2 linked regions of the Drosophila melanogaster genome follow. The protein of the gene in region 2 interacts with the protein of the main gene of each other region in a pairwise test. Each region holds a gene or a part of one and is shown on either strand. Other genes may lie near its edges.

Region 1 (16,334 bases), on a different chromosome or scaffold from region 2:
GTTGGGTGGAAAAGGCAAAAGCAAAGAAAACCATTCATTATTGCGAGTGCAAGTCAAGTGACGCGGCAATTAGCGACACAGGTTGTTGACCACTGGATGCCTCACCTTATGCGATAGACCAGCACCTCGTCCTCGTCATTCGAATAGAGATCGTCACGGTCGCGCCGCCTAAAACGTGAGACGACCACATAGGAGCTGGAGTACAGCAAGATTATCAGTAGCAAGAATATCTGAAAAGAACAATGCAACATGGCAAGTTAGTAAGCTTTATGGTTTTATCAGCTAAGTAATATTTTACTATAATATAATCAAATTTATTTTCCCTTAGAAACTGCAACATTTCGATCGCCCTCCTCAGGTTGGTTAATTACGTAAAACCCAAAGTAAATTTAGACTCGATTGTCTTTTTTGTTTTATTTTATTGAGGTTTTCATAGCACATTTCCCCACATATTCTTGTGTTTAAACAAATGTCAAAAAGTAAACACATCACCCACGCATCTCCTTTGTTTTGTTTTTATAAATATTTGTCATTACCGCCAACTGTGTGCACATTAGCCAAAAACATTTTCGATTCGTTAAGTTAGGGAAATCTGTATTAATCTAGCTCGGTGAATATATTACTTATTGATACTGATATGTGTACATGATTCAATTTAGTGTCAAAGTCTGGCATTTTAAGCGTTTCAGGGTCTAATCGTCAAAAACATTGCCAGAGTGATTTGAACTTTTGTTTGCGGACATTTCAATTTTTCAATTTCCGGTATGTATGCTTAAAATAATATTATGTATGTATATAGAACAGGTACTCAGGTTTCTTTTGCCTACAACCCTATATCACCATAAACCACTTGGCAATCGATGAAATATTATGACCGTCAATTAGACCAATAAAGTTAATTTCGTCTGCGTTCAAAGGTCACAAAAGAAAGCTTATCTGTGGCCAACGACAAAACATGAAACATTTGATAAGAACTAAACCGATAGCGGTCATTTAAATCCCATTGAATGTCAGCAACATTTGATTATCCGTACTCTTGACTATTAAATCCGAGTAGGTTGGCAATTTGAATCTTCATCAGCGATTTCCAAACATTGGACCCATCATTTGCAGGGTAAATATATTTTTGGGACCGCGAAATATAGATGCCAATCACATGGCACACGTCATATTTTCGCTTTTTTTGTGTATGCGAAAAGCGAAAACAAAACAAAACGTAAATGGATACGAAAATACAATAGTCTAGGCGCACAAATAAATCATTAAGTGAAGATACTTTTCATGTTATAGCTAGCAAAAAAAAACTTGGGGAAAAAATGCAGAGAGAGCAAAAAACATTAGTTTATACTCACGTCCCTGCTGTGTTTTGCTATTCTTTGTTTGCTATTCGAGATATTTTCAGTGGTATCTGTGAGATACTCTATTGCGTTATACAACGCGAGTTTTAATTAACTTATAACTTTATTCTTCTGCCTGCATTTGACCAGATCAATTAAATGAAATTTTCTTTAATTGCTCGCAGCGTTTCGCATTTCGGGATTCCAACCTTTCATCTTGCCATTCGAAATGACCTTCTTTTCAGTCAACATTTAAACAGTTTTCTCTACACAGTAGACAAAAAATATGATCAAATATTAAAAATTAAATATAGAGACGTAAATCGCCTGCTATCAACAGCAGAGTGCGTCGCTTTATTTATAGAACCCAAGTGTAGATCATGGAAAAATGTAGATACACTGAATGGCAAAACTATAAGGTTGCAGTATAATTAAACATCCAAAAGTACACATTTTGCGCATCTAGATAACGAGGCATTCGAATACTAATGTGATATGCACAGAGCATTTTTATAGAATCTAGGCCAGCTATGCAGCTATGAAACGCAGTGTATTTTCTAGACTATGACGTGTTAAACTTGAAACACATAGGCGACGAATACCAACTGATATGAGAATCTTATAATATGTACGCCAGGCATTCCTGAATGGAAACAATTGAGCCAGCGATCTTCAAGCTTAGTTTAGTGCTTGTCAGTCGAGAAAACGTGCAACTGCAATGCGCAGCCCCAAGTGGCATTTGTCACGCTCCAAGCGATTTGGATTTGGCCAAACTAAACGATCTGTGCCTCGGAATTAGCCGCACTTGCATCGTAGGCGAACGACGAGTCAATGACTTGACATGAACTCGAGGGGGAACACAACACGCCCATTGAAATGTGGACGACGATTTGGCTAAAAATAGCAGCTACGCCCAAAATGCAGCCAGAAGCCAGCGAAAACGACGACACTGTGGCCAGGCCAAAAGGAGAAGGGAAGAGGATCGCCGGTCGGACGGGTTTTGGCTTGATTTGTAGACAACTTTGCCGGTGAATGGGCTGCGAAATATTTATACTTTTCTATACCCAATAGTTGTGCCGAACAGGGGTATATATTGTATCCATATGTGCTGCAAGGTGGGTTGGTCTACGCCTATTGATACCTCTTCATTTTATCATTTCAGATAATTTTTTAGAATGTAGCGTCTCTTCAGATTCTCAAAGTGGAGAAGAGCTGTATGAGTCGTCCCAATTGTTTTAATGACTCCAAATAAAAATGTGTTTTCTAATGAGGGGAACTGCATTTGCAAGACTTTTGGTCATGGTTTAAGTTACCCAATTCAGTTTCTTCATCAGACTTTTCCCTAATCACTACTTGGGAAATGACTAAGAACATAAGTGTGGTGTTACACAATAAGTTTGTATGTATTTTCTCAGAATTTCCTGCTACTACACTTGGCATTAGTGGTTTTAATTCGGGTTTGGCTTTAGGTTCCTGAATTATTTATGAGAGCTTTGCGTTGTTTGCATTTCATTATTGCATGGAGTCCCACACATCACGTATTCGGTATGTTGACCCACATTCTGACGAATTATTCAATTTTCGGCCATCCAATGCAATCAGAACCGCTGACTGAAACCAGTTTCCATTTCCTGTTCCTGTTCCAGTTCCACAGAATCATCCTCAATGAAAGAAATGTGTATTTATAGACGTACAAATCATAATCGGTGGCATAAAAAGCAACCTGCAAGTGTATTGTATCTACGCCAGTCTATGCCAACCCTTTCAAATGTGTCCATTTAACGCCTCGTCTGCCATTGTTTAAACAGATCCAACAGCTGATCACGACAGCAGACACTTTCAGTGACCCAGACGGTACCAAATCGTGACCACTAGCCGTGCACTTGAAATCTGGCCTGCAAGTGTTTTGGCCATTTAACCGAATTTTCACAAAAGGAAATTAATGCCTTGCGCAATATAATAAACATGTGTTTTTATTCGATTCAGTCTGTTGTTTACATAAATCACTGGTTTCGTTTATTACACGCCCAACATTTCTATAAATAGTAGCTCGAGTGAAACACTTTCACTTGTTGCTTTTGCTTATGTTGCCTTTCTTTGTTTTTGCCTGAATTGTTTAAAATTTGATTTCAATTGAAAGTTCTACGATATTGGTACCAATTAAGTGAAGTTTGTTGATTATCTTATCAATACCTTGGACTTCTAGTTACCTTCCATTTTTCAAATAGCAAAACCTAAGCATTCTGATAGGGCTTATGAACTCACAAGAACCAATTAACTTAAGGGCAACATTACTGGGAACTATTAATGAAACTATTTAAGCCTGCCTTCCATTTGGATATTGGAATTTAAATATTCAACAAGAATGGAGAGTAATATTTTAATGAAATTTAAAACATATATTTTAAGAACCTATTGTTCTTAATTAATCTAATTGTAAACAAGAACATGTAAAAAAACATTTGTTTATAAAGTTCTAATAATAAAATAGAAACGAATAAAGCTTGGTAATGGTAGCAAGTATCTCGCCGTCGAATCATCGATTGTGTCTAAACTCTTTGATTAACAACAGGTGTCCGTCCGTGTGGGCCACTTTTGGTGTGTCTGCGTGATAATTTTCGCAGCTCAAATAGAAAGTGCAAGAAGAGAGTGGCTATCGCCGCCACTTCCTTCCCCGATTTTATATACAAAGCCCAAACGCAGGCGCCGAATGTGCTGACCACTGTAGTCCGAAACCGATAACAGAACCATAAACAAATACATTTCTGTAGACGACCAGCAACTGATTTCTCTGTTTATCAAAAGACCAGGCGAAGTGTGTGTAATTTCCAGAAGTCGCACGCATTTTACACCCAGCCACATGTACAGTTAGAACAACAACAATAGGGACAGCTGCGCCCTGAGTTCTTGTTGTTGTTTTATGCGTAGTGGGGTGGGAAATTGGGTGGAAAGGGGATGAATTCAATCCAGAAAAACACTTACAATGTGCTCGCGTACTGTATTGTGGAACAATTGCAGCTTTAGATCCGTAACCTCCTCCTCCTCCTCTTCGTCCATGCCCACGAAATATTTGGACAATTTATCGCTGGTAGCCAGTTTTCACAATTTTTCCTAGATCACGCCTCACTTAAAAATGTTACATACACATTTGACAGTCGCCAGAGTCTGTCAAATTCCTATGGGCAACAGTCCTTCTTAGTAATGCGCTCCAGGTTACAAATTTTCTGAATTAAAGTCGCTGTGGCGCTGCACTGTCTGATTTCGCACGGTAATTGTGATTAATTTAGTTAACTTTTTGATGCCGCATTGCCTTTCGACCCGTTTTGCGCTGGTCACTAATTTTCTACTAGCATTCGAGCCGATTTACGACCGAAACGTTAAAAGATTTCTATAAACTGGCGTCAGATTGACCGCATCTGCTAGAGGTGGACAATTGACGATAGGTCGATAGCTTTCGATGTATGTGCTTACGTTTAGAAAGGAAAATATTGAATCTCTAAAAAAAAAAAAATTGAATTGGAAAGAAAATACTGAATTTAAAATTTTTATTGACCTCTATTATTAGAGAAAAAAATATTATACCAATGCAATATCTTCAAGTTAAGAAAACTGTAACCCTAAAAACTATCAATTGGTTCAGACATTCTGGCAACCTTACATCTGTCAGCTGTTACCATACAAAAATGTCCAATTTGCGGCGCCAGGTAAATTAACTTAAAATCATAAATAATCGGTTAATATTGTTTGTATTCCAGGTTCTCAGTGCTTTCAAGAAGCTCCACCGTACACGACAATACGTTTTTCAGGGGGATGCCAATGCTTTGGCGGCGGGACGACTAAAAATCAACGAATCTTTCCTGCAGAATCGTAATGAAAGCAGCGAGGATGAAATTCAAAAGGTTTAACCACTTTTTGTAAATTCTAACTAAGTACATATATGGCAATTTGGCAAATTACAGATGATCAAGCTGGCGCAGGACGTGGATTTGGAGCTGCGAACGAATGTCATCCAAGCCCAGAAAAAAGAGGATGGTGTTTATGGTCAGTGGGGCATGGCGATTACATAAAAGAGCGCTCAAAATTAAAATTTGGCTATATTTACAGAACTAAGGATCACGCCAGAGACAACGCGACTCGACAATGTGGTCTTTAATCCTGACGCAATTATCGAAAAACCGCGCAGGCAACGCGGCGACAAAAACACTGAAGGTTGCTGCGGTGGCGCTGCGATGGCGGCGCTGGAAGCCGAAGTCCAGGCCCGCAACAAATAAAAATATATTCAATATTTAGCTGTAGTCAAGATGGTTTTGTTCTGATTAATTACGTCGTTTATCTTTAATTTCTATTATGTTTCTTCTTCGATTTGTGACTACTCTTTGACTTGGACTTCTTTTGCTTGGATTTTGTACTCTTTTTGCGTTTGCTGCGATCGTCCGACGATGAGGAGCTGCTAGAGCTGTCCTCGGAACTATCTGAAGATGTGGAGTCGCTTTCGGATTCCGAGGAACTTTCACTCGAATCTGAACTGCTGCTAGCTGCTCGTTTCGATTTCTTGGCTTGCTTTTTGCTCTTTTCCACTGAAAGTTTTCTTTTCTTCTCATGACTCTTGTTAGGGCTTGAGTGAGTGTCCATTCTATGGTCTTCCCGGTTCCTGGATTGTTGCCTATAAAAAGATAGATAGATAGTTAAAGATTTTGTATACATCCAGATGCTTAACATTTTTACCTCCGCTCTGGCGATCTTCTTTGATTCCTGGAGGTTTCTCTATGCGATCTCTCATCGTTACGTCTTCCTTCTTGAGGGGAATGGAATCGCCTGCTGTCATTGCGATCTCTGTTTTGAGTCGGTCTTTTTCCAGTTTGATCTCTAGATCTAGAACGCCTTCTCTCATTTTGTTCCCTTGGCCTAGAGCGTCTTCTTTCCTTTTGGTCCCTTGACCTAGAACGTCTTCCTAATTGGTCTCTAGGCCTAGAAGGCCTTCTCTCTTCTCGATCTCTTGACCTAGAGTACCTTCTATGTGTTGCATCCCGAGACCTCGATGACCTTTTTTCATTGCGATTCCTTTCGCGATTTGAGTTCTCTCTGACTGACTCATTTTGCGATTTTTTCGATCTATAAACACTTTTTTCATCTTTTTCCTTCGATCTGGTGCGTCTTTGCAAATTCTTTCGAACATCTCGTTCGCTTTGCTCCTGGTGTCGCTGTTCTCTCGCTTTTCTTCGCTCTGCAGAGCTCATCCTATTTCGAAAATCTTCCGTCCTGTTGCGCTCCTTATGGTCTTCTGTTCTGGACCGGCCATTGTTTGGTTTCCTGTGATCTTTGTCGTCTCGCAAATTGTTAAAATCCAGCTTTCTATAGTCGCCCTCAATACCACGTCCTTTGCCCCGCCAGGTGACCTTTGAAACGGATTGGGAGAAGTCCACGTGGATGCGTCGATCGTCGATAAGCACATTATCCATTTTGAAATATGCGGCCTCACAAGATTTTTGATCCTCGAACTCCACAAAAGCATATTGCAGAGAATCTCCCGTTTTGCGGTCGCGAATCACCTCACATCCTTTAAGCACGCCGAAGCTACTAAAGATTATCTCCAGATCATCGTCGGTTGTAACAGGATTGAGTTTGCACACAAACAAGACATTTTCTGGCGGAGCCATGTCTGCATCGGGTAAATCGCCGACAATCTCAAGGATTGTGGCTCGAGCCTTGGCCTCTCGTTCGGCCAGCATCTCCTGCATCTCCTCCGCGGTCATGCCATCAGTGTCATCGATATCCTCGTCGGCAGCGATGCGCCCGTTCTTCAGACGCTCCGCACTGGGCGAAGGTGAGCGACTTGGAGCCTGAAGGCCGCGCGGATTAGGAAACGGATCCTCAAGCACAACAGTGTGTGTGATGCGTATATCCTGGTAAGGACGGAAGCTGTCGTCAACAATGGCGTCGTTTAGCTTGCGCAGCACCTCGTGACCTTCCACCACTTCACCGATAACGCAGTGGTTGCCGTCCAGCGATGTTAGGTTCTCACCCAGCGTGAGGAAGAACTGGGATCCCACCAGATTCTTGCCTGCACTGACCAGCGATAGCATTCCGGCACTGGAGTGGTTAATCTTGGGCAGGAACTCCGCCTCGAAGAAGCGCTTTTGCGGACCCTCCACCACGCCCCAGATGGAGGATCCGCCGTCTCCAGCTCCACTCGGATCGCCTGTTTGGGCGATGAATCCCTGCTGCACCGTGTGAAATAGATTGAAGTTATAGTACTTCAGCCGGCACAGCTTGAGGAAGTTTAGGCAGGCAATTGGGCGCTCGCTGATGAACAGGTCGACGGTCAGGTCACCCATCGTGGTTTCTATAACCACCGACATTGTGCGAATTCACAGATACCGGCAAAATCAAGGGATAAACAAGAACAATATAGAGGTGGAGAAACATCGATGCCAAATCGATATCATCGATGCTTTCGAAAAATCACAAACATCGATGTTTTTCGAGGAATCATCGATGTTTTTCCATCTCTACTGCGCATCGGAGGAGAGAAGTGTATAAATTGTAGGTATAAATTAATTATCCAAATTTTCTAATACAATTATTAATTTAATGTGACTTATGTCGGTGTTATATGAAACTTGTACAAAATTGGTATTTTACATAAATTTTGAAAAAAAAATATTTTTTTTTATGTACCCTAAACTGAGAAAAAAGTAAAAAAAATACAAACTGAACAAAACTGAAAAAAAATAAAGAAAATACAAATTGATCAAAGAAGTCCATACCTGTAAATGTAAATAGTTATACACGATGCGTAAGTTCATCCGATACTTGACATCGATTGAATATTTTAAAAACAGAACGTAACTTCGTAATCGCCATTTTCGATTGTCATTCGATAATTGTGTGTGTATCAGTGAGACTTGTCAAAGAATTTTCACACGTTTCGAGACTGGAAAAAAGTACAGAAAATTTCATTCCAATCTTAAAAAGCGACAATTAATAGTTAAGCAAGTGACCAGTGATCTAGAACAAGGTAAAATGCCCGAGGCAGGAAAGAAAATAGCAGAGTTGCGCGTGTGCGATCTAAAGAGTGAGCTGGAGAAACGCGAGTTGGAGACAGTCGGCCCCAAGGCGGTGCTCATCGAACGCCTTGAAAAAGTAAGTCCACAAATATGTATGCAACTTAAATGGCGGTTCAGTGCCGCTGGCGATAGAGATAGTGATGCAATTTCCGGGGATTTATGAATGTGTGTAAGCAACGCCTGGTTTTTTCTAATTTCAAGTCACTCAGAGCTGAAGGGCTCGACCCGGCCACCCACTTGATTGTGCCGGGCGCGAAGGCCAAGAAGCCGTTTGCCATGCCCATGAAAGATCTCCAGTCGGAGGTGGTGATCAAGGAAGAGCCCATCGATGCCAATGAGGAGGAGGTGAAGGTGGAACAGCAAGATGATTACCAGAATGGCAACGACTACTCGCATCATGCCGACGACGATGGGCATGAGATTGACCAGGTGGGAGATGTGGACGATGAGTGTGTGATCCTGGATGACGACGATGAAGAGGATGAGGATCATGTGTACGACGATGAGCCCCAGAGCGGTGATGGCGATGCCGAGGGGAAAGCTCAGGACGATGGAGCCGAGAACAATGGCGACGACAAGGCTATTATCCATGGTGAGGAGGAAAACACCGGGGACACCGGAAATATGGACAATGACGAGTCAATCAATTTGACAATTGGGGAGGACGAGCAGAAGCTGCTGCACGATGAGGTGATTTTAACTATTTGGCCTTAAATTGATGTATTCTAATCCAATTTGTTTTGTCCTCAGGCTTCCGACGACAAATCTATTAAGTCTGGTATGTTTGCAGTATCACTCAAAACCATAGAAAATTTATAATTCATGACTAGAAATATCATGGCGTTTGTATTCATGCAATCGATTAAGAAATACGAAATACAAGAAATAAAGCTAATATGTTAATAAAAGTTATCCTGATTCACAGTCAAACCGGCCAATAAATCCGAAAAGTCTAACTCGAAGGATGCCGACAAGAAGAATGACGACGGAGCTCGCTCCAAGAAAAGGGATGAGAAATCCGGTGATAAGAAGGACTCTAGGTAAGATTTGAAAACGTTTCTGTGACATGTCTTCTAATAACATAATATATTTTTTCTTTTCATTTCGCCACATGATTGTGCATAAATTATTATGGAAAATAGTGAACAAAAGTCCTCAGGAAAGTCGTCGAATCAAAAGGACGATAAAGGTAAATTAAGTTAAAGTTTTAGCATGAATAAGAATGGTGTGTTCGGATGGTCTTGCGTTGGGAATGATCAGACCAAGCATGAACCCAGTTAAGGTCGAAAAAATTGACTAAACCATTGAGGAACATGTATCAAAGACCGTGCAAGAGAGTGTGAATTTGGTTGGGACACGGACATGGGACTCTTATCAACAAGGATGCGAGAATTCGGCTCAGGAGCAGCGATGCATCTTAAATTCAGCAATTCGAGTTAATCTTAGTGTTTGTTCCAGTTAACTTCGACGGAAACTTCATACTAATCAAACACACATCCCAATGTTCTCCAAGGAGTTTATAACATTGGTCATCAATAGGCGTATGTGCAAATACTCCGTTGAGGGGCCTATAATATAAAATGAGGCTATCTGGAGAATAAATGGATGGCACCTTTCCCTTACTGCAGCTGGGAAGTGCGGATATTTTTAATTCTTCTCGGCAGATAACTACTGGATTTGTATTACATCACTTATTTCGATCCTGGCTAGGATATGCTGGCCTTACCTGTGGATGACGATGGAAACTGACAGCTATTTAAACAGTCAGCTCTGGATATGCTGCTCTATACTCTGAACGCCTTCAGCAAAAAGCGAGCCTGCTGCCGCAATGGATTTTCATCAGCAACCCAATCAAATTCATACTCTCTTAGCTTCGTTAGGTGAAGTTTGTCGGTAATCTTACGATTGTGCTCTAAACTCCAACATCTGCAGCAGCTACAAAATGTGTGCGTTCACAAAATGCTTCCCTTAAAAACGTATCATAAACAAAAACAGTTAACCAGTTAAGCCCACTCAAAGCTCTGACCATATCTCTCTTCCAATATTATTATTTACATGGAACTTGCAGAGAAATCGACAGCAGCACCTGGTGGTGCCACATCCTCCACTGCATCGAGTGCCGCTGGCAGTAAATCGGGATCCGGTTCCAGTGCTGGCAATGGTACTGGGGCCAACTCAAACAACAAGCAGGCGACGCTGTCGCGAAATCTATGGGTTTCTGGGCTGTCCACTTTAACCCGTGCCAGCGACCTTAAGGCAATCTTCTCCAAGTTTGGCAAGGTGATTGGGGCCAAGGTGGTCACCAATACGCGTACTCCGGGCACTCGCTGCTACGGATACGTGACCATGTCCTCCTCGGCAGACGCCTCGCGTTGCATCGAAAATCTGCACCGCACCGAATTGCATGGACGCATCATTTCGGTGGAGCGTACCAAGAACGAGATTGGCGGCAGCTTGAATTCCAAAGAGGGCAAGGGCAAGGCTCCGGGCGACGCCGGAAACAAGAAGAAGGAAGACGACAGTGGCAAAAAGTCTGGTAGTGGCAAGGGCTCCAGCTCCAACAGTGGCGATGACAAGAAGGGCGGCGATGGAAACGGCGACAGCAAGTCTGTTGGTGGCGATTTAAAGCGTGATGGCAAGGAGAGCAACAGGGCCCGCAGCCGTCGCAACGATGACCGGGGCAAGTCGTTGGCAAGCCAGGATAGACCGCGCCACGATCGCGAGCGATCCGCAAAGGGTAGTCAGGATCATCGTTCGGGGCGCAATCCACGCGACGTCGACCGTGAGATTCAGCAGCGCCAGAGGGAGCGCGAGCGTCGTCAACGAGAGATGCTGTCCTACCAGAAGATACGTGAGGAGCGCGAGCGCCAGCGCCTTCGGGAAAGGGAGCGTGAGCTGCGTGAGGAGGAGCGTCGCCGTCGGGAGGCCCGTGAGCGCCAGCGAATCGAAGAGGAACGTCTGCAGGAAGAACGGCGCAAGCTCGCTGTGGAGCGGGAACGGCTCGAGCGGGAGAAGGCCGAGCTTTTGCGGATGGAGCGCGAGCGCCAGAAGCTGGAGAGAGAAAAAATCGAGCTGGAACGCCTCGAGCTGAAGCGACAACAGATGAAGTATGCTAAAAAAAAAACCAAAACAGACCGTAATGCGTTGCACTCGTGCCAACGCAGAGGCGACAACACAGATATACCAATATATTTATTTTATACTCTCTCGGAAAGCATTTGTCCTTGTGATTAGCGTGTTAAGTTGCAGCCTCCACGTTGTTTCTTCAACTCAAATTGCTTTTAAGCGGAACGTTGATAGGCAAATGCATCCTAGTCTAAAGTCTGAGTCTGATACCCCCACTTCACTCCAGAACTGACATTACTAGCATTACTAACTCAACTCTTTTATTTCTTCCATCTCTCTTCCTCTCAATCTTGTCGATTTACACAAACAGGATCATGGAGTCCCGCGATGATCCTGGCAAGCGCGGGGTAAGCAAACGTGCCGACGACCGCTATGGAGACGTTACTGATCGTAAGCGCACAGCTATTTTTGATGCGCCACCACCACCGAGATTCGACACGAATCTAGTCAGCTCCCGCAGGTAAGTATTCTTCCACAGAAAATAACTTGCGAGTTACAATCATGTCTTTGCAGCACCTATGACAAAAAACACGATGACTACGGATCCTCGTCGAGCACCAAGCGCGTGCTTGATGACTATTCTAGTTCCAGCAAGCGATTGGATTACTCCAGCAAGCGTAACGACTACAGCAGTTCTTCTGGATCCAAGCGTGGCGCTGTCGATGATTATACTGCCGTGCCCACGAAGCGCTCCAACGATTATAGTGCCTCCTCTTCTAGCAAGCGCGACGACTATAAGCGCGATGAAGTCCGTCATTTGCCACTTTCAGGAACTGTCGGCGGTGGCTCAAGCAGCTCGTATTTGCACAAGAACAACACAGCCGGTGGCGGAGCCGGATCCTACGTCCACAAGAACAACACCAGCGGCACTGGCGGGCGCTACAACGATTCCGATCGCAGCAACACATCGAGCTATAGACGCGACGACTCCCACAGCCTGTAAAAGTTTTAACAATAGAATTAAACTAGTTACGATGGATTCTAACTATTCTAATTTTTTATTATAGCGGTAACAAGCGTTATGACAACTCCAGCGGCGGCGGTGGAGCCTACGGCAGCAGTTCGAACAGCGTTAACATCTGGGCGCCATCATCCGGCGGAAGCAGCTCTCACCTGGGCAGCGGTGGCGGCGGCGGCAACCAAATTAAGTCATACGGCAACAACGGCATGTCCTCGAATATGCACAGCACCAATTCGTGGCAAAAGTCTGCTCCCGTTGACGACAACGGTTGGCGGCAAGTGCCCGCGCGCTTCGATCGCGGCTACAACGAACGTTCAACCGGCTATCAAGGGCAGAGTGGGGGCGGAGGAGCAGGCGGAATGTACGGCGCGAGCCGACCCGCCCAGGATCGCTACAGCGGACCGGTGTCGCGCTACTAGGAAATGTGCATTTACATAAAATGAGGCAATTCGAATTTCCAAGCATGCATCCCCACATCCAACACACCCCCCTGAGTGACTTTTCCAGCAGCGCCCAGGAGCGCTGCTCTTAATATAATGAGCTTTAGTTGTAGTTCTAAAACTTAAAATTACATTTGGAAACCAATAAATGTATTATCAAACTATGTTGAAAATGCGCATACATTTATGTTACATCTGCAGGATTTATTGAACCTATAGGTGCGGGTAATCACCTTCGTATGAGGATATTAGTGGCGTGGTCGTGTCTACCAGCACCAGAACGCTATGTGCCAAAGGATAAACGTCATGCACCTGGACGTAATAGCCACGGTCGCACTGCTCCTTGGAAGAGAAGAGACTGCAGGAGATGCAGGTAAAAATAAAATCCCTGTTGCAAAATGAAAACATACGCTAATATATCCACCGGTTCCAGTATCAGCTCCGACTTGTAGACCGAGGCCAGAAAGTTTGTAAACGCTGCCGTGTTATTTCCCAACTCCAGCTCCATGTTGGGTGTGCAGATCTGCAGTCCCAGGCCACAGTTGGTCGAACCAATCCCCGGGAGGCCATTACGAGTACCCCAAACGGTGATGATGTTGTCCTCCGAGGCGACAATGGTACACTGGTCGCTACAGTTCGCCTTCTACATGCGACGGTTTAGAAGGGATTTCTCAACTAACACAGAATAATACAAACCACAATATATCGAGACTTAACCGAATCCACCAGGGTGGGGTGATCAACCGAGTTGCAGTGCCTGATTCCCCGCTGACCCTCCGCATTTCGACCCATGGTGTAAACATAGCCGCCCTCCACCAGGAACACCGAATGGGTGGACGAGAAGCACGCCTGGGTCACCTTGTGAGGCAGTTGGACTTTTTTCTGCGCATGAGAACTATAAGGTAAGCATAAGTGGGTAACTCAAGGTTGTGGACCTACAAAGGCAGTAATCTTCGCCGAACGTTGGAAACCGAGTTTATTGTAGTCATTGCTACCACAGACGTGTAGTTCCCCGTTGGCAAATAAGACAGCTGAAGTATCAGGACCGCAGTAAATCTTTGATGGCTTGGTCTTCACATGCGATAACAGAATCTTTTGGGGGAATTTCCTGGGATTATGAATTATAGAGATAGATGACAATAATGAATTATAATCTCCTAGAACCCACTGTTGCTGCTGATAATTTCCAAGGCCAAGAGCACCGCACGTACTGGTGCCCCAGACGTAGACCGCTCCCTCTCGGCTCAAGGCCAGAACGTGCTGGAGTCCAGCGGCCACCTGCTCCACCCGGACATCTGCCAATCGGGCTATTAGCTTGGGGCTGTGGTAGTTGCGTTGCTCGTCCTGTCCCAGTGCCAAATGGGCATTGCTGCCGCAGCTTAGCAGACTTCCCGCCTGGGTAACCAGGATAGTGAAGCCATCGCCGGCGCAGGCACTCACCACATGGTAGTTGCGCACGCTCTCCATACGACTGGGGTAGTGCTTCCAAGCCTCCAGAGCTGTGAGACCCAGCTGCCCGTGGGTGCCCTCACCCCAGGCGTATGCTGATCCGTCCTCGTTTACCACCACGAAGTGGGAATCCGACATGGCAACGTCCACGATGACAGCCTTCGGCGGCAGTTGGATGGGCGCCATGCTGAAGCAGGTGCCGAAGGCCTTCAGCTGGTATAGCACGGATCTGCAGGTGGTCGTCTGGATTAGATCGTCGGAGCTGACGTTGACTAACCCATTACCGTTTCTCAAGGATCTCGTGCGGCGCCGCTGTATCCGCAATCATCAATTGTTTGGTCTCCGTCTGGGCGGTGGGCAATTCCAACTCCATGGACACATTGCTGTAGGCGGCGGCTGGAACAGGAGCAGTCAATTGGTCGCTACCCGGACCTCCCACATCATCCTCATAGGAGTACCTGCGATATCGTGAGAGGTCAAGAGCTGCTAGTGGCAACAGAATTCAGGCATACCCTTTGTTCTTTCCCAGGCTACGGAATATCAGTGGAATCCAGTAGACCAATACCTCCGAGGCGGTAGGTCGCCGTGGTGCCTCCACTTGAAGCAGATTGGACATTAGACTGCGAAGTCCCGATGTGTAACCCGATGGCACTGGTGTATAGTTCCCTGCCATAATCTTGGTTACCAATTCGGATAGATTGGAGGCAGCAAAGGTCTTCTTCAGACAGCACATCTCGCCCAGAATGCAGCCCAGAGCCCAAATGTCACTCTTGTTGTCGTACTCCTTACCCTCGCACTGGAAACCATGACAGTATTAGGGTATAGTGACTTACATATATCAACCCATTAAACCTATTACCATCTCCGGACTGAAGTAGTAGGGTGTGCCCAAAACAGTCTGGGCATGTATCTTGGTGTTCATTATTTTGGATATGCCAAAATCTCCGATTTTCACAATGCCTCGCCTGTTCAGAAATACATTCGCGGTCTTCAAATCCCTGAATACAAAACGAATATGGTAATCAAATCTCTTCTAGAATATATAAAAATGACTTCGTTACCGATGCAGGATGTTCTCCGAGTGCATGTAGTTGATGGCACTGGAGATCTGTTCGAATACGGCTATTATATATCGTTCAGGAAAATGCAATTTTCCCTGCCGCTCGGCGATGATTTGGGCCAGGGTACCTCCATCGGCGTACTCCATCTCGATAAGCAGAGTGTTGTCCTTGATGAAGCTACCGAGGTAGCTCACAATATTCGGATGATGTAATTTCGAGAAGACATCAACCTCGTTCATAGCCAGATCCCGACCAGGCGGGCTCAACTCACTCAGGTTGATTTGCTTGAAGACGATCTGGTGCCCGTCGGACTTGCGTCGGTAGAGGATGGCGATGCCAAAGGATCCCTGGCCCACCACCCGCACCTTTTCATAGTTAGCCAATTCAGGTCCTGCCACTCCCACTCCCGTCTCCCGTGGAACACTAAGCTGCAGGAGGCTCTCCTGTCGGTTGGGCATCTGTGCCTTACTGCTCGACATGGCCTCCGCTAAGGAGGTACTCGCCGCTCCGGTGGTGCCGTCCGTAATGGTAAAAACCGTGGGCAGCACTCGAGTGCAAGTCGATTGCTTCCGCTGCGTATTCTGACCCAGGGGTAACTGCAGCGAACTGGTGGTCAGCGTGGTGGCGTCGGTTATGCGACCGTTGAAAATGGGCAGGGAGCTCGCCTTGGCCCGGAACTTCTTCATCTCCTTCGAGAGGACACAACCTACGCCTTAACCGTCCAAAATCGAATCGTATCCTGTCTATTGTATAATTACCCTTTGGCATGTTCCAGCCATAGTTGTGGTCACAATGGTTGCTAGGTAAAGTGGGTGACACGACGTCTGTTTGGGTGGACCCGTGCTCGCGTTATCAGTGGGCTCGCTAATTGGACAGCTCGGAACGAGGGGATA
Region 2 (16,077 bases):
ATTTAAAGCTTTCACGAAGACCTTCGAATTATAACAATTTCATTTCGTTTTCAGTGACTTTTCATAGAAGTCTGACTTAAATTTGACAATTTGGAATACTGAAATTCTATGTCCAGACATCTTAACAAAATGAAGAATATTTTACTAGTTTTTTTATCCCACAAACATGTGTTTCTAAATAACACTTATTTCTAAACGAGAATTTTTAATCAAGAAAGCTTTGTTTTGTTTCATTTTGTTTTAATCATGTTTATGAAAGCAGAAAATAAATTTGTAGTCGGATGTGTTTAAAATATACGCCGGATGTACGTACGCCTTCGAAATCATATTGGAATAAAGATTATATTACTAATTTTCTATCCGATGAACACACGTATTTCTGAATAACTTTAATTTCTAATCATTAATTTTCAATAAAGAAAGCTTTGTTTTGTTTTTACCACGTTTATGAGAGCCGAGAATAAATTCTTGGTCGGATGTATTCAACGCCTTCGAAATCAAGTTGATGTGCACGGAAGACCAAGGCCAGTAGTGGATCCATACTTAGAACCGTATTTACATAGATTGAGATTGATTCATATGGCTTATATAAAGATTCAGCATAATCTGTACATTACCTATATTTCACAACCTACAACCAACCACACGCATGCGCACACAACTTCAGCAAACATATATAGACAGAACTAATAATGGCGACATTATAAATAAACTAGCTTAAGCCACTTCTAAACTGTAACTGGAAATGTAGTCTAAAACGTACAAAATAAATTAAAGCAAATGCAGAACGCAGAATTATATAAGCAAACTTTTGTCCCTCACGCGTTGAAGAATCGAAAAGAAAAGTAATAAAAGAAATGTAAACCTAAAACAATATATATAGCAAATTGAATGTATTTTTTTATTTATTTTGGTGGGGCTCGCAGTTTCCGATATTATGAACTTTGGAGGCCTTATCTAAAATCCAGCAGGAAATTCTTAAGTAGCACTGATAACCACATGGATTACGAATCAAATTCCTTCATAATGTCATCCAATTTTATTCGCTTAACATTGGTTAAATACATGAATTCGATTGTACTTTTCTTTTGTGATGAAAATAACAGACATCTTAACGACTATTTAGAAAAGCTTCAACAGAATCCTAAACTTATTAATTACGATCCCATATTAGCAAGGAATATAGCTTAATTTCAAATTGGCCCCATTTACTTGCCAATAAAACAAGAGAGCTATGCCATTAACAATGTTTATTTGCGCGTATAAACGTAGTAAAAGGCAATGCAGATTAAGTCAGGCACAAAGTATTACTTTGCTGTTTCTAAAGCAATGGTGGAAATTCGTGTGGATGTTGCAAAGGGTATCCACTGTTTGTTGTGTGTGATGTGCGGTGGAATAGGTTATAGAAAAAATCACAAATTGGGTGCACACATATAGGATCAAGGACGAACAGAACATCAACAAAAGGCACTTGGACAGCTGCTCATCGCGTGGCCAAGTGCACACAGTTAGAAAACATAAAAAATAGAAGAGCAGTCGAGAACACGTTAATGGAAATGGGTTAATAGAAACTATTTTATGCTGATAAGGCTTAAAGAAATGGATCTACTAAAGCTAAGTGAAGCGGCCCGGAATACTGACGGTGCTCGGTCTAGGAGTACTGCGTGTGCGGGTTCACGTTGATCATCTCCATGTTGCTGTTGGGTAAACAGAAATAAAACCATGATTAGTTCAAGAGCCCTTAGTATAGGAGGTGTCAATCATTTTGGCCAGTGCCCGATTAGGTAAAACGCTACTATCAAACGCTACTTAATTGTCAATACTTATCGCGCACCGAGCAAAACGCTAATTTGGCCATGAGAAACGATTCGGCTTCAATGGGGAATGAAATACTCGACTCTTAGCAGACTTAATGAACTATAATGCTGTGGGAGTGGGGGATAAGGGCAGGATGAATGACGATCGGTACAATGAGGATGAATCAACGATGTGCGATGATCAACTCACCTGCGACTGCATCGCATATGAATAAATAGCAGGGCCAGGCCCAGGGTGATGCAAATGGCACCCACCACAATGTACGCAATGCCCAGGAACGGGTTCTTGCCACCGAGCACGGATGTGGTGGAGAGTATCATTCGCTTCGTGCCGTCGAACGACACCACCGGATAATCTGAAGGGCAAAACACAAATACATTAGATACAGCATTCGCGATATCCCAGCCATTCGTACTTACTATACTTAATGTTAAGCGTATAATTGCCAGACTTCAGGCCGTTGGCATAGTTGGTGTTCGTTTGGTTGAGACGGCGATATAGCTTCCGGAAGCTGGGCAGAGCGGCGGTGCGCATCCACACGATCAGATCCTCGTTCTGGAAGCCATTGTTGTCCGGATTCTCCGGGTCCAGGTCGGCCAGACCCTTCTGCCAGAAAATTGGCTTTGAGAAGCCCTCAAGGGAGACGTTCAGGTTACCCTCTGGGTTTCGGAACTTGACGCGCTTGTCCGACGGCCAGGCAATGCCCGTCTTCAGCAGCTTGATCTCGGATCCACCCTGCAAGAGGGTCAGCGTGTCTGGAAGATATCAATGTTAGTTGCGGTACAGTCAAGGTAGTTTCTGTGCCGCACCATTGAACAGCGAGTTGGCAATGGCACCGCAGGGCGCGATGGGCTTTCCGGAATCGGGATCATAGGCGAAGGGGGCACAGTCTGTACTGGGCGTTTGCGACAGGTGACCCAGCAGCTGCTCGTCGTCCCGTGACTTCACATAGCGCCGATGGTTCTGATAGTAGTTGGTCAGTCCGTAGTACATGTATACCACACCCTTTAAAAAAGGAAGTTAACGAAATACTTAAATGAGAATCTCTTTCTAAAGTATTATAAGGAATCCAAATCCACTATCAATATCATCAATATCTTTTCCAAACCTGCTAAAAGCAATGTTGATAAATGCCTTGCAGATTATAAAAGCAGCATATAGCTTTTCATTTGAACTACTTCACTACCTAAACTAAGAGCTGATTAATTGAGCTGGACAGCTACTGAAGCTCTGGATCCCTATAACTCACATTGAAGTCCGAGGGCAGGACGAAGGGCACCTCGCAGGGGCACGTAACGCCGGGGTTGGCCTCCAGATACTCCGCACAGGTGGTATTTCCGCCCGAGCGCCTGCACTTGGTGTAGTCGATGATCAGCTCGTTGGCGGTGTTGCTCAGGTGGAGCAGGACCACGCCGATGGGTATGAATAGAACTCCGATAACGAAGAAGGTGGGCAGTACGGTGCGGGCGGTCAGGACGGGCTGCCAGGCGGGCAGGCGCTGTTGCTTGAAGGCCGAATCTGTGGGTGGACAACATGGGAAACGGGCAAACGTGAGCGACTTGGCATGACCTCATGGTTAATGCAGGGACACCAGGATGGGCCCCGAAAATCGATTTGCCATTGGATATTAGTCATTCCCCTCCTTATCACTTGTTACGCAGACAAGTGTGTGTGAGTGTGTTATTGGGGGATTGGGATTTGGATGGGGCGACTCGCATGAAACTGGGTTTTCACCTGAAGGTCGCTTGGACTTCGCCGCTGCACTCTCCTCATTCTCCGCTTGCTGTGTGGACATGGTGGCTTATCTGGTTTCTCGCTATGCTCCTCGAAAAGCTCCTTGGTGTCCAAACGCTGCAAGTGACTCCAATTGAATAAAGTAAATACAATAAAATTTCGATGACAGCACATGAGTCATCGATATGTATCGATACCTGCAGTGATGGTATATATCGATGAAATTTTATCTATATTTAGCTTTTGCTCCATTTGGCTTACCTTTGAGAAATATGTTAAACTAAGGTAAGAGGAAAATCATTTGTCTCTCCAAATTCGTCGTAATACCTCCAAATGAGCAATGCTCTAGCCATCCCATTCAACTATCGATAGTCAGACCGCGAATAGTATCGATAAGGCGTCGCATGCAACCGCGTGGAGGCGGCGTTTTCGTTGTTGTGTCAAAACAATAAGCGAGCAGCAGAATATCAGCACACCCATCCAGCTAGCAAAGATAAAGGCGAAAAGGCTAGACCAGCAGAGATTGTGATTCACTTTGCCACCCACCAGTGCAGTACATACCCGCGCTCGCTAACATTCGATCCACCTAAACCACGGTAACACAGAAACGCCAACACACATACACACAGTACGCAGCGGCAATGAAAATCACAGTGACGACCAGCGATGACAAGGTCTTCTGCTTGGACGTGGCCCAGGATCTTGAGCTGGAGAATCTCAAGGCCCTCTGCGCGATGGAGATCGGTGCGGAAGTGTCCCAAATAGCGGTAATTTTCAACGGGCGGGAGCTTTCCAGCGACAAACAGACGCTGCAACAGTGCGGAGTCGGCGACGGCGACTTCATCATGCTGGAACGACGCAGGAGCGCCAATCGCCCAGGTGAGAGAGAGAGAGAGTTGAAATTCGGCGTTGGAATGGAAACGAGATGGGAAAGTGGAAAGAGCGGGGTGAAGAGAGGGGGAGCCATTATCCTTATGTGGGTCACGTTTTTCCCCGTGGAGGGGGGGGGATCTTGAGTGTGTTTTGGAGGATGGTGAAGGGGGTTCATTGGTCAGATAACGCGAATTCGCACAATAATAAAATTAATTATTGTCCTACATGATCCATAACACGTTTATATTCAAATGTCGCTTAAAAAATACTTCAGCAACATAATATTTAGGAAAAACCGGGAAACCCCGAATACGTAGTGCGAACATTTCATTTAACAATACTTTTGCAATGTGAAATTTGAACTGTGCTCATTTTTTTTTTAATTTGTTGGCGTTATTAGTTGCTAGATTTTTATGGAAAAGCGCAGCGAGCACAGCTCATCTTTTTGCGGCGCAATTGGTGTTAAAAATAAACGCCTTGCTTCGTCTGACTTTCTTTTCGCAAATTCCAAAAAAACAGCGGCACACAGACACGGGAAAGAACACTGGAAGTGTGTGCTGTTTCCACTGCAGCAGAGAGGGGGGTTCGGGTTCGGTGAGGAATGGGCATACCAATGAAAGTGGAGGAGCAGCAGCAGGTGCGTTGCCTTTGCCTCAGTCTCAGCCCCATGGATCCACCCACTTGGGCCGCCCACTGTGGCCGGACCACTGTTTTGTTGACCCCTGAATGCGCATTTGGCCTTGTCAGCTTGTCCATTGAAATGGGATCGTGTATATATAATTGTTTTGCTATATACATATGTACATATGTATGAATGGTATTTCTGCACACATGTGCACACATTTTGGCGACTGCAGACAGGTGTGGGCGGTGAACAATTTTCGATTTCATTTGACCATTGCACAGCACTTTGGACTCCATGACTCGCACGCGAGCAAGCTCATTTGGCAGCCAGAAAATGAGTTCAACTACATATCACTTATCTACAGATATGTACATATTATCTAGTTAACACAACTGCACTTGCATTGGTTTATCTCGCTAGTCTGATGTTTTTAATTCGATTATAGATCACAGATTAATTAAGTTCCATTCAAATTGGATGACGGTGATTTAATCTATCTCGACAAACGTTTATACATATGCACATATGTATATAAATGTTTGTTGTATGGTAATTAGCATGAGTTATACGCAATCATTTATTTCACAATCTGCAAGCCAGATTATATTTGGGCAAAATTTGTTGAGGTTTTTAGGTATTGCTTGCTCTTTCTTTCTCAAAATTTGTTCCATTTTACGCGTAAATATGTTGATAATTTTCTCGATTTGTAGCAGATAACTGCACTGACCACAAATTGTCTTTTAAACTATATTCAATGTAATCGATTCGAATATTGACAAATGTAATCCTGTAAAGAAACGCAATAGAAAACTACCTCAATCGATTAATCTTTCGTCTCATTCAAAAATTTCAGTTGGCGGAAATCCAGCGATCAGCACGCTCGACTTCAGCAACATCGCCGTGCCGGGCACTAGTTCAGGCGGCAGTCCACCGTCAAGGCGGGTGCAGCAGCAGGGAGTGCAGCAGCCGCAGTTCAACAACCTCACGGACATACCCACGACCGATGAGTTCAATGTGAACTTCGACGACGACCCAGAGACGGTGCGACAGATGTTTCTGTCCAGTCCCGAGACTCTGTCGCTCCTCCGGCAGTACAATCCCAGCCTGGCGGAAGCCATCGATTCCGGCGACAAGGAAAAGTTCGCTCGGCTGCTTCGCGAGCATATTACGGAGCGAAAGCGTCGTAACGAGCACCGCATGCGCATGCTAAACGCCGATCCCTTCGATGAGGAGACTCAACGTCTGATTGCCGAAGAGATCAAGCAGAAGAATATCCAGGATAACATGGCGGCTGCCATTGAATACAATCCAGAGATCTTTGGCACGGTTACAATGCTGTAAGTAATGGTAAAAATAATTAATATGATTGGATTGGCTCATTGCAATATTGCATATTATTAGCTATATCAACTGCAAAGTGAATGGCATTCCTGTGAAGGCCTTTGTGGACTCTGGCGCCCAGACGACGATCATGAGCAAAGACTGCGCCGAGAGATGCCATGTCAACCGTCTGATTGACACACGCTGGAATGGTGTGGCCAAGGGCGTTGGCACACAGCCCATTCTGGGCAGGATACACATGGTCCAGTTGCAGATTGAGAACGATCACCTAACGTCCAGTTTCACCGTGCTGGGCCAGCAACCCATGGACATGTTGCTGGGTCTGGACATGCTGAAGCGACATCAGGTAATGAAATCTAGATAGCATCAGATTACGTCGCCTAAATGCTAATTGAATTGGTTTTTCCAGTGCCTGATTGACTTGCAGCGTAATTTGTTGATTATTGGCACCACGGGAACAACGACACCCTTTCTGCCGGAAAGTGAGCTGCCGGTCAGCGCCCGGCTGACAGGAAACTCGGAGGATTCGATGGAACAGGAGGCGATTTCCAATGCAATCGAGCAAAGCAAACGGGAGAGCGGTGGCGCCGGTGGCGGGCCCAACACGATCAGTCCTCAAGAACGATTCACCGAACAGGATGTCACCGATCTCATGGCCCTTGGCTATCCTCGCAGCGATGTGCTTACCGTGCTGCGCCTGTGCGGCGGTAACAAGCAGGCGGCCAGGTCCGTGCTGCTCCACCGCAACGATGCCGCCTCGGGGAGCGAACTCAGCTGAACGCGGCTAGACGCACAGCCCACACCACCACCTAAAGCCGAACTCCCCATAGCCAGAAACCGGATTGCAATAGGATGATGAACAGACTGGACCCCATTAACTGGAAGCCGTTCCAACGAAATACTCCGAGCAATACCAAATAATAAGCCACGCCACGCCACATATAAAGTCAAATAGGAAATAGTAAGGACTATACACAACCACAAAGCAATGAATACCGAAACGAAAACCTTTCTAATTTAGTGAAATGTTTATAAACTGATGTCACTTTTTTTATACGAATCGTTTGTTACGATGTACAATATCTAATTAGGGTGCTACGCAGCACTACCGGGTCATTTTTAAAGCAGAGGTGGGTTGGTTTTTTCTAGAGAGAATAGTAAGCGATATAATCTAAAATTTAATGAATGAAAATCTGGACGGTGATGGAAACAAGCCGCATCAACGAAAACATGAAACAAGTAAATACAAAAGAAAAACGAAAGAATGCCTGACTATTAAATAATATTACACTTATACACAATTTGAATTAGTATTAAGGGTCTGTCAAGAAAAACTGAATTGGGTTCAATAATAAATGGTCGATAGTATTGTTTTGGATTTGAAAAGAAAAAGATGAGCAAGCGCATTTTGATTTGTCTTCTTGGGCATCTCGCTGTTTTCACTTTTATAAATCTTTAATAGCATTCGTTATATGTTATGTATATAAATTATAAAATTACAACTTCTGATTTTTGCAAAACTCCTTTAATTGTTTGTTACAGTTGCTATAGTTGTGTCTGATGCTGTGGCTACGCTAATCCTCTTCCTCCTCCTCATCCTCCTCGTTCGCACGACCCGCCCCCGATCCCTTGTGGTTGAACTCCTTCTCTGGATCGAACTGCATGCCCTCCTGGTCGGCGCCATCCTCCTCGTCATCGTCGCCAGCCACCTGGGCGTTCTCGGCCTCAGCGCGCTCCAGGCGTCTGGCCAGATCCGCCTCGTCGATGGCCGTAACCAGTTTGGGTGCCATGATCACCTTGAACTCTCCATCGTACTCGCTGGTCTTGGCGCGAATGTGCTCAATGGCCACCTCCAGAGCCTTTAAACCGTCTGTCTTCTTGGTAGTGGATGTGGTCATTACATAGCTAAAAGGATACGGATGAAGAGCGATTACGTTTAGGAACCAATTAACTCATTTAAGCAACATTTTTAGTTATTTCGATTTCACAAGAAGTTGTAAAATTAAATTGAATATAAGTTTTTCTCTTAACCAAGTGGTCATTTACAATATATACAAGATGAAAGGGATTTCCTTATTATTTAACGATAAATTTCGGCTAAAATGAAGAACAGAAATCTACAATTTTCGTATTCTTTTAATTAAAGAAACCCTCGTTAATTTCGTCTACACCAAGGGAAATTACAATAGTTTACAGGTACTTACAGTGGCGGTGCTATCAGGTTGATGCGAATGGGCAGCTCCTCGGTGCTCAGCTCCAGGCCCTTGGTGAGCGATGCCTTGACAGCGTCGATGCCCTCGTAACCGTAGCAGGAGCACTCGATGTCCGCACGGATCTTGACAGTGGGCGAGACCAGCTTCCGCTTGATGTTGCTCAACAGGACCTCCTTGGTCTCCGGTTCCAGGTTGCACTCATCGAAGACGGTGGGATCGGTGACCGATTGCTTGAAGATGTCGTAGGCGACCGTCTTGTTGTTGTACTTCTTCTCGAAGTGCCAGGCGGTCTTCTGGTAGAGATCTTCCAGCTTCTCGTTGCCCTCGAAGCCGAGTATGTCGGCGACATGGCGGAGCAGTGAGTTGATGGCCTTGGCCTTAGCGAAGCGCTCGGTGCACTTCTCGACATCTTCGGGCGAAACGCGACGCTTCGACAGATCGATGTAGCCCTTCTCCTTGTCAACACGGATAACCACCACCGGTTCGGTCTTGCCGACACGAATCAGCTTGTTGATGGAGCGGATGCGCCGGCGGGACAGCTCCGACAGCAGGATCATGCCCTCGATGTTGTTGTACTCAAGCAGATGAACGTAGGCGCCCATCTCGGCGATGGACAGCACGTTCACCATAACGACATCCTCGATCTCCGGATACCGCTCGTTGTAGAAGCGCGACGTCAGGGCCATGTTAAAGTCTGTGGTCTATGGCCAAAAAATGGGCAATTTGGACTTTTCGAAATGAAAAACGTGTACAATTTCTGCCGAGCGGGCGCAAGAAGAAGAAGCGTAAGGTATGACAGTGGTGTTATCGATATTTAATTGCGTAGCCGGCAAAACGTTGCCAATTGGATTGCTTCTGGTCACACTGGAAAGGTGGGGCAGCAGCGGTCTATCGATTGTTTGTCACATGGATTGCCGGTCAATTTCAAATTTTACTGTTTTGGTTTTAATTTTGATCAGAACATTCGAAATAATAGTCCAAATGTGGAATGCCATCCCTTGGCGAGCTTGTTATTTAAATACCAATCAATTTCAAATTGGAAATGTTAATTTTTGTTAAATTTATTGCAATATTACAAAAATTGCGAAAATTGACCCAAAAGTTAAATTCTCAAAAAGTTATATAGATTGCTAATACTGATAAATAGGAATAAAAAGCAGTTGTTCTTTTATCTATATGTCACTTTTTATCCATGTTATGATGATAATTCCCATATGTCAAATTTTCATTTTTCATATTTATCTGTTTAAATTTGCAGAACATTTTAAAAGGTTGCATATTATCGCATACAAAAAGGCCATTAAATATGTAATGACATGTAGCTTGAATCGGTTTTTTTAGAAGCTACACTTTTAATTTAAAGAACATTAGAATATTTGTATAGGTTGGCTCCGTTTATTAGTTAATTATGACAGCGCGCGAGTACAATATATATTTATCTAACAGTTATCTATGATGGTCCCGATCTATTCTTTTTGGGAAAGGTAAATACGCGCCTCGTCGACCTATAATTAAATAGATAAGATTAAATTAAAGCGGGCCTCTAAGTGGTCAAAATCAGAATAGCCAAATACTTACGGTTTTGAACCAAACGGAGGGTCTAAAGATCATCTTAGATAGGAAGGTCATTTGGGTGCGTGGGCTAATGGCATGCATGTGAAGATGCTTCACCGTGATAAACGGCGGCAGATGGAATCCGAAGAGGGCATCATCGACAGAAACTCCCTTGGACACCAGAAGATCCTTCAGGGCGTTCTCCATGAGCTGCACTGTAAGGAATCCAAGGATATCAGAATTATTAGGGCATGGCCCGAGGTCACGCCAATTCCAATCTTACCCAAAGAATCGTGCGATTTGTTAAGATCCTTGAGGCTAGCGTAGTGCTTTTTTGTCACTGCTAAGTAATGGTGCTGGGAAGCGGGTTTAATGTCCTGGAAGATGACAAAGTCATCGTTTTCGACTTCCAAAACAGTGGAGGGGATCCGCCCATCGGAAATTAGGCAGAAAATGCAGTTGTCGTCCGCCATGACTTAATTTTAAGTTCAGTCTATATAAAATATAGCAGTTTGTACTTTCACAGCTGATTAGTTGTACTGTCGATAACGATAAGAACTATCCTGGTGCTCCAAAAAAAAATACCGCTAAATAGATTTTCAGTATTAAAAAAAACCATTTGTGTCCAGTTACTTTTAGTATTATTTTTTTCAACAAAAAAATTTATACAAACATATGTATTCCTCTCTATGTATTCAATGTCATTTTTGAATGTTTCATTAGAAAAGGAACAATTGTAGAATGCTAAACAACTATAAATATTAATCGATATCTGAAAATTGGACGCAATTGGGCATGCGTCCCTGCTAACGACCAAAATACTAAGAAAGGCGGCTATCAGCTAATTGGTGTGGTGACACTGCCCGACCAAATTCGCCGCGATAGTATTTTTCGCCCGTGTGTTCACACTGCGGTTTGCAGCGAATTCGCTCATTTGAAAAAAATAAAACATGGCTGGAAGAGGTGGTTATGAACACGCTAGGTAAATATTATTAATTATTTTTGCAATAGCGTACGCTCCGCGTTGGCCGCGAACCGCCGGTGCTTGTGAAAGTGGACGCGATGCGATCGAATTGCGCGAGTGCCGACAATCTGGGCAAAATGTGTAATAATGCACGCGGTTTTTTGGGGTTTGGGCAAAAAAAAAGGCAACACCAGCCCACCAACACACGCGCACGCTCTCGCCTCGCCGCTCGCACACCCATACAGTAATGTGCATGTGTATTGTACGTGTCGGTCGTTGGTCGCCGACACCGCCGCCGCCGCCGCCTTTGTACGTGCGTGCGTGTGCGTATGTGTGTGGTGTGTGTGTGTGTGTGGTGTGTGTGAGGGGCAGTGTGCGTTTTTTTTTCTTAACATTCTTTTTCGGTTTTTATTTTGTCGATTCTTTTCATCGCTTGCGTTGTTTTTCTTGGAAAACTCTGCTGCAGCTGTCGTCGGCGCCAACGTCGACTACGCCGCTGACAGCACACCGGCAGATTTCACATTAAAATCCCCCCACCCCTCATCAAAAAAAGAAAAAAGAAGAAGAAAATATGAACCCAAAAATAGTTGCAAATTCCATGCATAATGCAATTTTCGCCAAAAAGCGCGCGCGATTTAACCCCCACCCCCCTCACCATTTGACACCTGTCCCACTGCATTTGTTGTTCTTCGGTTTTTTTTTTATTTGTGCCTGCATCTCTGTTGACTGTTTGCCGGGAATCCGAGCCAGCGTTAGCCGGCCACATAGATAAATGCCGACCATGTGCGTTTTGCCCCAAGGGGTGGCGCCACAAACCACCACCACCCCCCCCCTCACACCACAGTCCCTCAAAAGGGAAGAAGAAGAAGAGACAGACACACCCCCATTAATTGGATTCGATGTCAAGGTTCCCAGGCCACGGAGTAATCCTCCACACAAAGGGGCACAGCAAATACCAGGAGCCAGAATCGAGCACACCATGCAGTTGCTTTGGTTGCGCAAATCTATAGAGGGGGATCTGTAATCCAACTTTAGAAGCTAACATACTACATGCAGAATAGGTTTTTCATGGGTGCATCCCATTTCCAAGATTCATTGCCTTTAAATTTATTAGTGTACTTACTCTACTAACCATTCATTTTTATTTCTCGATATTTTTCAGAAGCGGATTCGGTGGGGATCGGGCATCCAAGCAGTTGCCCACGGAACCGCCGTTCATCGCATTTGTCGGCAATTTGCCGCAAGGCCTTGTGCAGGGCGATGTGATCAAAATATTCCAGGACTTTGAGGTGAAGTACGTGCGGCTGGTGAAGGACCGGGAAACGGATCAGTTCAAAGGCTTCTGCTACGTCGAATTCGAGACGCTGGACAATCTGGAGCGGGCGCTAGAGTGCGATGGTCGGATCAAACTGGACGATCTGTCGGCGCCGCTAAGGATCGACATTGCCGATCGGAGAAAAAATGATCGGTGAGTTGAGACCAGATGATTGTATACTTTAGATTGAATCGATTGGAGCTCTCCATACGAACAGAGCACATGGAGCTTTCTAACGATTCCCCAATTTTATCACTTGACTAACCATATTTTGGACTTTCTTACAGCCCTGGTGGCGGTGTTGGCGGCGGCAACGGCGGCATGACCCGCGGCGACGGCGGCAGAGACGGTTTCCAGAAGCGCGGCCCACCTCGCCAGGGCGGCAGCAGTCAGTCCTACAGCCGGGGAGGTCCTGGCACTGGCGGCGGCGGTCGGGAGGGCGGCGGCGGTTCGGGTAATCGCGGCGATAGTAGAGGTTCGTACATTGATAGTTATGGTGGTCACAATGATAGAAGTCGCGGCGTCGGCGGCAGCGGCGCGGGCTCCGGCGGTGGCATGAATAGAGGATACAATGGTAAAGCATTTTTATCTGCCGTCCAACCAACCAACCAACCAACCAACACGTAGCTGCATCCCTCGTAGTGCCGCCAAAAACCAGTTATACTGATTACTTATAACGATTCTAAATCATTCGCATGGCTGGAAGACACATCCATGCTGCAATCCTCGAAAGTGAAAGTAGAATTTCCCCCATTGTTCTGTTTCGATTATCGTTTATGTTCCTACCTTGGCATCCTACTGCGGTTCTACATTCTGATCTTGCGTTGGTTTTGCTATATGTTTCAAGGAGTTGCCACAAGAAAAGACTATACAACCGTAGAAGTAGTAGTAGTATGTTTGTGCACATCATTATTTAAAGAATTGAAAGAACAACATGTTGGAGTCCTTGATTGGCAGGAATCCACAGATGGTTAATCGAAACTGATCGACAAGTTAATTTCTTTTGAAGTGGGTTTGCTACATACTTATTACTCCTGGACTGCTAGCTGTTACCGCCTATTTCCAACCTTCTTTTGAGCTTAGTTTGCGCCCATTGAAAACGCCCATATTGATAGCTCCCCTGTAGCAGTAGCTTAAGCACATTCGCACGCTTTTTACTTTGAACTGCATTTAGCTAGCATGTTGAGCCTAATTGTAAGCAGGTTACCACATGGCCCACAGGCACTAATCTAGTTGCTTCCGTTGCAGATCGGCCGGCAAATCGTGGTCGGTACGGCAGTTTCAATAACGACGATCGACCATTCGAGCGTAACCAGGATCGGGATCGCGGTCAGCGGGAAGGCAGCTATGGCAACCAGTCGCGCGACGGCGATCGCTACAACAACTTCAACCGGCACCGCGACCGCGAGCGCACCCACTACAATCCCAACCAGCAGAGCGAACGTCCCAGTGGCGGCATGACCGGCCTTGGCGGCGGCTCCGGCGGATCAGGAGGCCTAGGCGTTGGCGGTGGTTCCTCAATGGGCGCCATTGGTGAGTTGTAATAATAAGTACATACATATGTAGATGGGAGGATAGTCGAGGATAGTTTGTTTCAAACAAAACGCTAGGAGAATTTCATGTTGTTGTCCATATTTGCAAAGCATTAATTTACCTATCCATTCCCTGCCCACAGACAATTTTAGACATTTCAAGAAACCGATTTCAAGAATTATTTCAAATATGTGTCAATCGAGAGTATCACAATTAGCCGTACCACGTACTAGTAAGTCAGTTTAATGCAGGTTTTCGTAGTACTTCATTCATTGCATTTGAATGATGTACATGTAGGATTTAAGTTTGCCCAACCGATCAACCACTTATCAATTTACCTATCCGTTTCATATCCGCAGACGACAATGAGCGGCCACGTCTGCAGCTGAAGCCACGGACCATTGCCGCGCCCATTAACGCGGTGGCAGAGACCAAGCAATCGGCCTCGATCTTTGGCAACGCCAAGCCGCGCGAAGAGAAGCTGAAGGAGCTGCAGCAGAATGTCAATCACAACGGCGATAACTAGAGGGCTGGAGTTGGTCCGCAATACAATATATGCCTGATATGATATTTTGATGTGCGAGAACGAGATAATCCGAGATAGAGGGAGAGAAGGCGAGGAAGAGAAGAGGAGGAAGCAGAAATAGCAAGGGGGGAGGAGGAGGAGGAGGAGGAGGATGATGATGATGATGACGATGACAAGGAGCATCAGCAGCATGCATATATAAACACATACATTAATTAATAACACTACGCTACATACCTATTATATACGAATGATATGTACTACATTACAAGAACGAAGATGGAACAACAGGCTGGCCTCTGTGTCTCTGTGTCAGTGTCCAGTGTCAGTCAGCAAGCAACTTAACAACAAGCAACAAGCAACATGCAACACGCAACATCAGCAACAAAGCCAAGCAGCAATAATGCAACTATTCTAACTCTTTGCAACCAGAAAACATCCGCAACAGCAATGGAAAGTCTTTAAATGTTAGTCCTTAAGCAGCGATAAACTTTAGTCTCGTGCATATGGCCAATATATATAGTATATATATATATATGGTATATATATATATACGGTTATGTGCGCTTCATTGTACAGCAGCTGTATGCACGCTGCTATTTGTTAGTTAAGTGATGGATATAAACCAACAAAACAAAACATAAGAGGAGGAAAGTTCTACCATTAAGGTATAAATAGTAAACAAAAAACAAGTAAAACAAAACAAAAAAATGAAAACAATGCAAAACAAAAAAGAAAAAACTCGAAAAACAAAGCAAAAATCGAAAACAAAAACTTTTTGACAAAACGTTCAGCGTAGCAGGCAGGCAATTTATACAGTTTATATAGGAAAAAAAAGATAAAAAAAAACACACAAAAAAAAACATAACAAAAATAATTATTGAACAGACATACCTTATGAAATTAAAACACCAACAGCAGATCTTACAAAACAAATCGCAGAGAAGCAGAACATCCACTAAGTACGTAAAATAAAAAAAAAAAATACAAAAAAAAAAAAACCGGAAAAGTTATCATTTCAGATTCACTACAGAAAACTTATATAGCTACCGAAAAGCAATCAACTACATAGGTCTTATGTAGCTGAAGATAGTGTTAAAAGTCAAAGCCGACCAAATTATGCAAATATAATTTGGATATCCATATCCACCCATTATGCACTTCACATATTTAGGTCAATTTTATTTACAATTAGCTTCGGTTCGAATGTTTCTTTGCCTATATGTGTACATTTACATTTCTAACATTAAATTATCGTGCACATAGGATCTGATTTCTTTGTAGATAACCTTGATATAAGACGAAAAAAAAGAAAAATATGGAAAACAATGTATACATTTTATTGTTGTTTGTGTGTTTCAATTATTATTTGCATAAGTAAGAGCGTTTTTCCTTAACGTCATCCTCTTTGTTTCCTCGCCAGTTTTTTTTTTTTTACAATTTTTTTTGTACCTTGCAAGAGCTGATTAATCGCGAAAGTTGTACATTAATTTGAAAATAAAGCGAAAACAAATTAAATAAGCGTGTACCGTATCGGTTTGGTGTTTTCCTTCGCAAATTCGATTTCGAAATTCGATTTTT

The links.
Region 1: the proteins of eIF2alpha (region 2) and CG5808 interact in a two-hybrid assay, tested with the Drosophila melanogaster proteins (one large-scale study listed by BioGRID).

Annotation. Positions count from the first base shown.
Region 1 is NT_033777.3:24,809,257-24,825,590, forward strand, and holds CG5808 (uncharacterized protein), read right to left. Parts: upstream 7,752-16,334; 5' UTR 7,697-7,751; coding exon 6,063-7,696; intron 6,001-6,062; coding exon 5,673-6,000; 3' UTR 5,647-5,672; downstream 1-5,646. Other genes in the region: lili (lilipod), read right to left, coding at 106-230, 4,320-4,394; CG34150 (uncharacterized protein), read left to right, coding at 5,021-5,041, 5,093-5,236, 5,297-5,378, 5,442-5,608; Saf-B (scaffold attachment factor B), read left to right, coding at 8,361-8,480, 8,606-9,094, 9,155-9,182, 9,330-9,444, 9,547-9,593, 10,473-11,511, 11,841-11,990, 12,044-12,469 and 1 more; niki (nimA-like kinase), read right to left, coding at 13,145-13,289, 13,342-13,574, 13,628-13,813, 13,871-14,039, 14,100-14,609, 14,665-14,838, 14,893-15,176, 15,240-15,378 and 1 more.
Region 2 is NC_004354.4:16,437,590-16,453,666, forward strand, and holds eIF2alpha (eukaryotic translation initiation factor 2 subunit alpha), read right to left. Parts: upstream 9,405-16,077; 5' UTR 9,291-9,404; coding exon 8,596-9,290; intron 8,297-8,595; coding exon 7,966-8,296; 3' UTR 7,587-7,965; downstream 1-7,586. Other genes in the region: Cdc50 (cell division cycle 50), read right to left, coding at 1,652-1,697, 2,008-2,173, 2,238-2,573, 2,628-2,823, 3,068-3,336, 3,553-3,613; rngo (rings lost), read left to right, coding at 4,194-4,431, 5,904-6,387, 6,452-6,737, 6,801-7,169; CG34015 (uncharacterized protein), read right to left, coding at 10,071-10,109, 10,183-10,373, 10,442-10,631; eIF4H1 (eukaryotic translation initiation factor 4H1), read left to right, coding at 11,109-11,140, 12,285-12,590, 12,725-13,011, 13,686-13,970, 14,113-14,202, 14,330-14,496. UniProt on the Drosophila melanogaster protein: eIF-2 functions in the early steps of protein synthesis by forming a ternary complex with GTP and initiator tRNA. This pre-initiation complex mediates ribosomal recognition of a start codon during the scanning process of the leader region.